2 linked regions of the Oryctolagus cuniculus genome follow. The protein of the gene in region 1 binds, or shares a complex with, the protein of each later gene. Links are inferred from orthologs where the notes say so. Each region holds a gene or a part of one and is shown on either strand. Other genes may lie near its edges.

What was found. Proteins that work in one complex are often made in the same cells at the same time.
Region 2: CYFIP2 (region 1) and BRK1 share a complex: the UniProt entries of both Homo sapiens proteins name them as parts of the WAVE1 complex. The link is inferred for Oryctolagus cuniculus from reciprocal best matches to the Homo sapiens genes CYFIP2 and BRK1.

The regions. Positions count from the first base shown.
Region 1 is NC_091437.1:44,298,350-44,301,849, forward strand, and holds part of CYFIP2 (cytoplasmic FMR1-interacting protein 2), read left to right. Parts: intron 1-645; coding exon 646-720; intron 721-1,653; coding exon 1,654-1,807; intron 1,808-2,724; coding exon 2,725-2,881; intron 2,882-3,397; coding exon 3,398-3,494; intron 3,495-3,500. UniProt on the Homo sapiens protein: Involved in T-cell adhesion and p53/TP53-dependent induction of apoptosis. Does not bind RNA. As component of the WAVE1 complex, required for BDNF-NTRK2 endocytic trafficking and signaling from early endosomes.
Region 2 is NC_091441.1:116,687,069-116,691,165, reverse strand, and holds the start of BRK1 (protein BRICK1), read left to right. Parts: upstream 1-1,297; 5' UTR 1,298-1,392; coding exon 1,393-1,510; intron 1,511-4,097. UniProt on the Homo sapiens protein: Involved in regulation of actin and microtubule organization. Part of a WAVE complex that activates the Arp2/3 complex. As component of the WAVE1 complex, required for BDNF-NTRK2 endocytic trafficking and signaling from early endosomes.

The DNA.
Region 1 (3,500 bases):
AGGGAAGTGACTTGTCCAAGTCACACGGTGCGTCCCACGTGGAGGGGGGACAAGAACCCAGGTCTCCTGACTCCCCCGCAGGGCTCCGCTACAGCCGTGGGAGTAGCCCGATAGACATGGGGAGTAGCTGCAGTGCGGTTTCTTCCAGGAAATAACGTGTACGGTTACAGAAGTTGGGGAAAGCGTTCACCCTCTTAAGGATGCAACCAGGTTTTCAGACAGTTAAGAGTCTGGCGGAAGCAGCCGCACGCAGCAGCACACGGGGCTCGACAGCTCCGTTCTCTGGGGCCCCCAGGTGGTGGCTAGGAGAGGGCCTCTCGGCTCTCCCGGAGGAGAAGGTGCCGCCAGCAGCAGGGGTGCGGGAAGGGAAGCGCGCGCAGGGACGGTGTCCCGCGTGTCTCTGGCTGCACTGGCCCTGCAGGCCCGGCCATGTGGTGGGGAAGAGCCCAGAGAAGGCGAGGGAGCCCAGGTGAGCGTGGTTGCTGGGAGGCTGGAGCGGCTCGGCGGCGGCCCCTAGCAGTCGCGATGGCTTTCCCACCGTATGCAATACCTCTTGCTTTTCTCTCTCTCTCTTTCTCTCTCTCCCTCCTCCCTGTCTCTCCTGCCCTCCCATCCCCTCTTCCTTCTCTCCTATCTGTGTCTTAGGCCTGCCAGTGGTCCCCGAGGGCTTTGTTTCACCCCACTGGTGGCACACAGGGCCGAAGAGGCTGCCGATCCCTGGTATAACACCGCCTGGCGGGGTTGGCTTGGGTACTGCTCTCCAGGAGGCAGCGGGAATGGACTAGCCTGACTCCTCAAGGCCCCTTCCAGCCTCAGATTCAGAGACAGATGGTGTGGAAAGATCTAGATTAGCAGAGAGAACGAACAGTCCCACCGCACTCACGCCCTTGGCGCTTAGGGCTCCCAGTAAGCAGGAGTTAATTGTCCTGTAGCCTCCTTTGTAAGTACCGACGTGAGCCCACTTTGCACCCAGGGTTTCTTCAGGCTGCACCGTTGCACGCTCGCCACCAGAGGGCGCCTTCCCTCCTGTGATGGCTGCAAAATGCAGAGGATCAGAACTCTGAGCTGTGGGAGGGGAGGGGGGCTCTTTCGGATCTTAGCCCATTTCACACTTCCGCAGAAGGTTAGAGCTGCAAGGGCCTGGAGGGAGAGAACACCTGGTCCAACCCCTCACAGTATGTAATACCACTGAGGTCCAGAGTGGGTGCTTTGTTGCCTAAGGTCACACAGCAAGTCAGAGGCAGTGCCTGGCCTTGAACCCAGGTCTTTTGACTCCTAGTCCAGTGCCCCACCCACGACGCCACTGTGGCTGTCTGGGAAGGCCGAGAGTGACATAGGATGAGGTTCTCCTCTGAAGCCTGTGCCCTTGGCTGAGCAGGGCCGGCAGGAACCTCTCCCTGGGCCTCTTAACTACCACCGGTGGTGGCCAGATCCACCCACCCAGGAATGTCTCAGAGTTCTGGGCAGAGCTCCTTCCCGGGGTGGCCCGTCTCTCTCCTGAAGGTTTTCACAGTTGCAAATTCGCTTCTCTGCCTCACATGGTGCCTTCTCAAGACATTGTTTTTAAGAGCAGAAAGAAAACAAATACAGCGCAAAGCAAGCTTGGCCCAGGATGGCGGCTGACCCCTAACCGCGTCTTCCTTTGCCTTCAAGCTGTACATGGTGCGGACGATGCTTGAATCGCTCATCGCAGATAAAAGTGGCTCCAAGAAGACCCTGCGAAGCAGCCTGGACGGGCCCATCGTCCTGGCCATCGAGGACTTCCACAAACAGTCCTTCTTCTTCACACACCTGCTCAACATCAGTGGTGAGCTGCAGAGCCCAGGGCAGAGGCGGGGGCTCCTGCCTCCCGCGTGGCTGAGCCCCTTGGGCCGGCAGTGGCACAGTCTGCCTGCAAGGGAGGATCCCCACTTCCTGGTGGACTGCGGGAGCTGGGGAGGAGGACCAGGCCCAGTTCACCTCTTCTGACGTGGTCAGCTCAGCAGCTGTCCAGGGCGCATTTGTGGCGGATTTATCAGGACGTCTTTGGTGGAGCAGAGTCAGAAACGGGATTGCAAACGTGGAAACACACGAGGCGTTCACTGGCCTTTGGCTGCTAAGCCGCAGCTGGGAGTTGAGCAGTGCCCACTCTCCCCACAGAAGAGCCTGGCAGGCTGCAGCCCAGCCCCTGTGCTCTACCCGTCCTCTGCTAGTAGGGTGCACATCCTATAGGACAGGTGGCAGACCAGTGTCCTAGGGACGTGCGGTTGTCCTGTGTCTCTTGGCATTGAAGAGCTTGACTCACTTCAACAACCAGTCAGAACTTGTCCATCAGAGAGTTGCCTAGGAAGGGCCTTCAAGGCCTCTGAACCACACAGCCGGGGTCAAGGAGCCACAGCCCAGCTGGAAGTGGGTGCATGGCGACTTCTCTTAAAGGTGTGTGTTGTACACTTAAATCATGTTTTCACGATGGCTCTGTAGGGGGTGATGGAAATCTGGGGGCATCTAAAGTCCTCAAACACCACCGCCACTTCCACCACACATCTCTAAAGCTTAACAGATGCAGCTCTCCAGGCAAATATTAGTCTTGTCTGAAGTACAAGGGCACAGGATGTGCTACTCAGTATGTGTGAGGTACCTGCTGCATACTTAGCAGAGTGAGGATAACAATAACAGGAAGAAAATCAAGAACTGTGATTTTTTGTGTGCTGCCTATAACCCAAGGCTCTCTCCCTACACTTCCAGAAGCTCTCCAGCAATGTTGCGACCTCTCTCAGCTCTGGTTCCGAGAATTCTTCCTGGAGTTAACTATGGGCCGGCGAATCCAGTTCCCCATTGAGATGTCCATGCCTTGGATTCTAACAGACCATATCCTGGAAACCAAAGAACCTTCCATGATGGAGTAAGAGGCAGGATTGGACCTGTAAGGAGGTTCCTGGGATGCAGGTGGAAGGTGGCTTTCCAGTGAGCTCATCCTTTGCAGAAGGAAGGTCTGAGCTGACTGTAGGTCAGGTGGGGTGTGCCACCAGGGGTTAGGACACACCAGGTCTGGCTGCAGAAAGATCCGGGAGCGTCCTCCCAGCCCACCTGGCCATCCTGTGTTTCATCAGCCGCAAATCAGCGCTGCTTGGGAAATAAGCCCTCTTTTGGGTCAGGCAGCTGCTGCCCTTCCCTGCCACCTGATTTGTCTTAGTGCCAGACTTCAGCTCAGGCCCTGCTTGTCTTAGCCACTGGGGCTTTGGATTTCCGGGCAGCCTGTAGAGTAAGTCATTTCTAAGTGGTGGAGGCACTGGAAACTCTCCTCCCAGCCCTGAACTTGTGCCCTCTCTCCTCCGCCCTCTGTCTCTGAGTAAGGGGCCACCTGGCTGCCTTGCGAGACGCCCTCACCAAGCTGCTGGCTCTCCGTGTCCCCCTGCAGGTACGTCCTCTACCCTTTGGACCTGTACAACGACAGTGCCTACTATGCCCTGACGAAGTTTAAAAAGCAGTTCCTGTATGATGAGATCGAAGCCGAGGCAAGT
Region 2 (4,097 bases), on another chromosome or scaffold:
CTGAGGTGGGGTCAGGCTTCGGGAGACCACAGCGGCTCAGAGGCCTGGCAGATCCTTGGTCTGTGTGTGGCTCATAAATTAAAAACAAAAACACAGGGGTGGGAGGCCGGCATTCAGCCCATGCCCCAGCTCGGGCGACTGGGTTCCTGCCATGCACATGACACCCCTGGGCCGGGTTCCCCGCTCAAAGCTCGGCGTGGGCACTCGAGGACTTCAGCAGATGCGGGCCCTGTCTCCCCCTCCTCGCCCCTCTTCCCCTCGACCTCTTAAAGGGGGCAGTGGCTCCTCTTTTAACCCATGCTGCCTTAGGGGAGAGCAGGTCTCTTCGCTCCCTGGGACAGGCAGCTAGGGGGACCACAGCCTCACCTGGCTGGGGCAGCGCGGGCCGGGTGTATTATTGCTTTAGGAAATTGTGTGACTACAGGGGAGCTCGGACAGGCCTCCTGCCGTTCTCAGGGTCCAGGGAGACGTGGACAGTCAGCGGGACAGGGTTCACCTGCCGGCGACGACCCTGCGGGTCCCGTGAGAATCAGCTGCAGACACATCTCTACAGGCGTCCAGGAATCAAAGGGCTGTGCGCACTGGGGTCTTCCCCGTGACTGCCAGAAACACGGATCCCTCCGCTTTTTTTTTTCCTTTTTATCAAAGGCATTTCTGCATACCAGAAAATACTCCTTGAGACAAAGGTAAAATTGCACGTTATTCCACCGCCTTAACAAGCCCCGCACTGGTTTGGGGTTACACTCGTCCCCACCTATCAGACATGATTTTTGCCTAGTGGCAGTTATTAAAAATGTGCATCGTTTTCCCCCTCGGTTTCTCCAGTGCGCCCCGTTCCCGTTGCCAGGTGCTCCTAGTTAGCATCTAAAGGACAGTATAGTATTTTATTATCGCCTCGGCCGGCTGCAGCAGATCAGGGTACAGAGCGCATCTCTGCCTCGAGTGGTCTGTGTCCGTAATTTTCAAAAGCGCTGGGTTACGTAACCGCTCCGTTACAGAGTTCCTCCTGAGCGGCCCGGGCTCGCCCCCGCCGCCGCCGAGTACGATCAGGCTCTGTTCCCTCGGCGAACGCGGCGTATCGCTGCGGCCACCTGGGCGGACGCGAGGGAAGCCCACGCGGCCCCTAACGCCCACAGCGGCCCGCCGGACGTGGGCGTGCGGCGCCCTGCGCAGGCGCACAGCGCTCCTCCCCGAGCCGCCGCTTTGCTTTCCGCGGCGTGGGCGCCGGGTGCAAACGCAGGCGCGGACGTGACGCTGCGCAGGCGCATCACGAAGCCCGTGGAGTCGTGCGCGCCCGGGGCGGGTTGGGCCTGGGGGCGCAGGCGCACTGGCTGCCTGTGGGGGGGCGGGTGTCGCGGCGCCTGCGCAGCCACTCTTCCTTCGGCGGCCGCCATGGCGGGGCAAGAGGATCCGGTGCAGCGGGAGATTCACCAGGACTGGGCGAACCGGGAGTACATTGAGGTCATCACCAGCAGCATCAAGAAAATCGCGGACTTTCTCAATTCGTTCGGTCCGTGGGCGAGCCGGGGTGGCTGGGCGGTGGGGGGCCCTCCGCGGCGGCCCGGCGGGGACCCTGAGGGGGCGCTTGCGGCCGCGTTCCGGGGTTCGCTTCCTGCTTCAGGCCCCACCTTCCCGCGTCTCCCTGGCCCTCGGGCAGCGCCTGGCCGGCCAGGCGGCCCCGTCCACCCGCGCGGCGTCCGCTTCCATTGCGCCCCCTCGCTGCTCGGGGGGTCTGCTCCGCGCGCTCCGGCGGGCCCCCCGTGGGCTGGGGTCGGGGCCGGGAGGTCGCCGGAGGTGGCGCGCCGTGGGCCCGGCTCGCGCGGCCGAGACAGCCTTGCAGGAATCCGGGCGCGGCCTGCCCGAGAGCCCGTGAGCGTTCCCTCTGCCGCCCCTCGCCCCGGCCGGCCAGCGCGGGGTGCGGAGGGCAAGAGTGGCCTGTTTCCTCGAAGGGTTCTTCTGTCTGCTCGTTGAGCAACGTGAAGCCCTTCCGGTTAAACGGGAGAAACCTGCGTGCACGTGTGTCATTGCAGAAGCGTTTAGAACGAGTCAGTTCCCCCCGCCCGCCCCCAGCTTCCATCCGCTGGCTCGCTCCCTAGATGGCCGCAGTGGCCAGGCCTAAGCCAGGAGCTTTGTCCGGGTCTCCCACGCGGGTGCAGGGGCCCAAGCGCTTGGCCATCCTCCACTGCTTTCCCAGGCCATTAGGGAGGTGGATGGGAAGTGGAGCAGCCGGGACGCGAACCAGCGCCCGTATGGGATGCCGCCCCGCGGTGGCAGCCCTGGATGAATTATTTTCTAGGTGGTGAGGCGAGAGCTGAGCGAGGAGCCGGCTCCGAGGTTGGGGGAGGGCACGGGAGGACCATTTGCCTCCCTCAGAGCTCTTGTCTTGGTCACACTTTCTAAGGATACTTCTGTTGCATTTGTAAGGCGGGGAGGTCATCATCTTCTGGTTAGGGCCGGAACAGGCTGGAAGCGGGGCCAGGCACTCGGCCTGTGGCTCTCACGCGTGACAGGAACCCCTGCTCGCTCCCGGGGTGTGCGTTAAAGGGGAACTGGGGTGGGAGTGGCGTGGGGCCCCAGCCCCGCAGCCGGTGCGGTGGCGTCGCAGTCCCGCCCTGAGCAGGGTCTGACTGAAGCCGAGGCCGGGACAGCGTGGAGGAGGGGACCGTGCGGAGGTGTGGGGGCATGGCGAGGCCCTCCCTCCGGAGGCTGGGGCTGCAGGCGCTGTTCCTGGGAGGACGGGCCAGGCGTGGGTGTCCGTGGTGTGTGTGAAGGGCGTGAGGTGCTGCAGAGGCTGGTGGGAAACAGTGAAGTGAAAGGGACGTAAGTGAAGCAGTGTCTTGGAAAAAATAAATGGCAAGACTGGTTTTAGTGAACTGACAACATGTGGGAAATACCGACTGACTCGCCCGGCTCCTCTGGGTTTCCTCAGAATTTGTAAAGTTCTGTACAAGTTGCTTCAGTATGATGTTTCATTATTCTCACAGTTGGTTCTCCTCTTTCCCAGATAACTGAAATGTTAAGGGTTCTTCATAGCATTTTTTCCCCCAAAGATTTATTTATTTATTTGAAAGAGAGAGAGAGAGGTCTTCCATCCTCTAGTTCAGTCCCCACATGGCCATGACGGCTAGAGCTGCGCCAATCCGAAGCCAGGAGCCAGGAGCTTCTTCCGGGTCTCCCATGTGGGTGCAGGGGCCCAAGCACTTGGGTCGTCTTGCACTGCTTTCCCAGGCCACAGCGGAGAGCTGGATGGGAAGTGGGTGGGATGCTGGCGCCGCAGGCAGCGGTTTTCACCCACTGCATGATGGTTCCGGCCCCTTCACAGCATTCTTCACGCAAAACCTTTGTTAGAGAAGGACTACGTGGCAGAAACCAAAATATTCCATGCAGGGGACCGGTCAGGTTGATAGGTGACAGGATCCTGGCTTTGAGACTTCGGAGGGCAGTAGTTGGAAAGATCACTGACCTGGGACGTTCTAAGTTGGTCTGAAAAAGCAGAATGAAAATACTTGGTTCATACGGTTGTGCTTAATAACTGACACGCACCCACCGAGTACTCATCCAGGTTAAGGTCAGTTCAGGCGCCCGAGCTTCGGACATAGCAAGCTGGCTGGGGCGGCTTTTCCAGTGTGGACGTGTCTAGCCCCTCAGTCCTCCAGCTGGGGTCTAGGCAGTGTGGTAAGTTCACCTCTGAGCACAGAGTCGTATCGTGTATCTGTCTTGAACCCTAGTCCCACCAAGTTGGCTGGGTCTTGGGGCTGACTGAAATGGAGGCGTGATGGAGGATGTGCAGGGGCACAGTGTTGCTTTCTTGCCGTCTGCGCTCTGGCGGGGTCACATCTGCTCAGTTAGAGGAGGGATTTGCTGTTCTGTTTGGGATTTCCACCAGGGCCGAGGCCGACGAAATGGACATGCAGAATTTTAATCTTCAGGAGCCAGAAAGAAATAGCTTCTCATGGCTGTTGTCCTCCACTGAAATGATGATGGTGGCCGGATGTTTGGTGTCGTTTTTGAAAATGTTAGAGAATGAGTTTAGTACTGAAGAGTTAGAAATAAGCACAGTGTTACGATGGGTGCAGGGCTGAGCGCCATGGCACCGC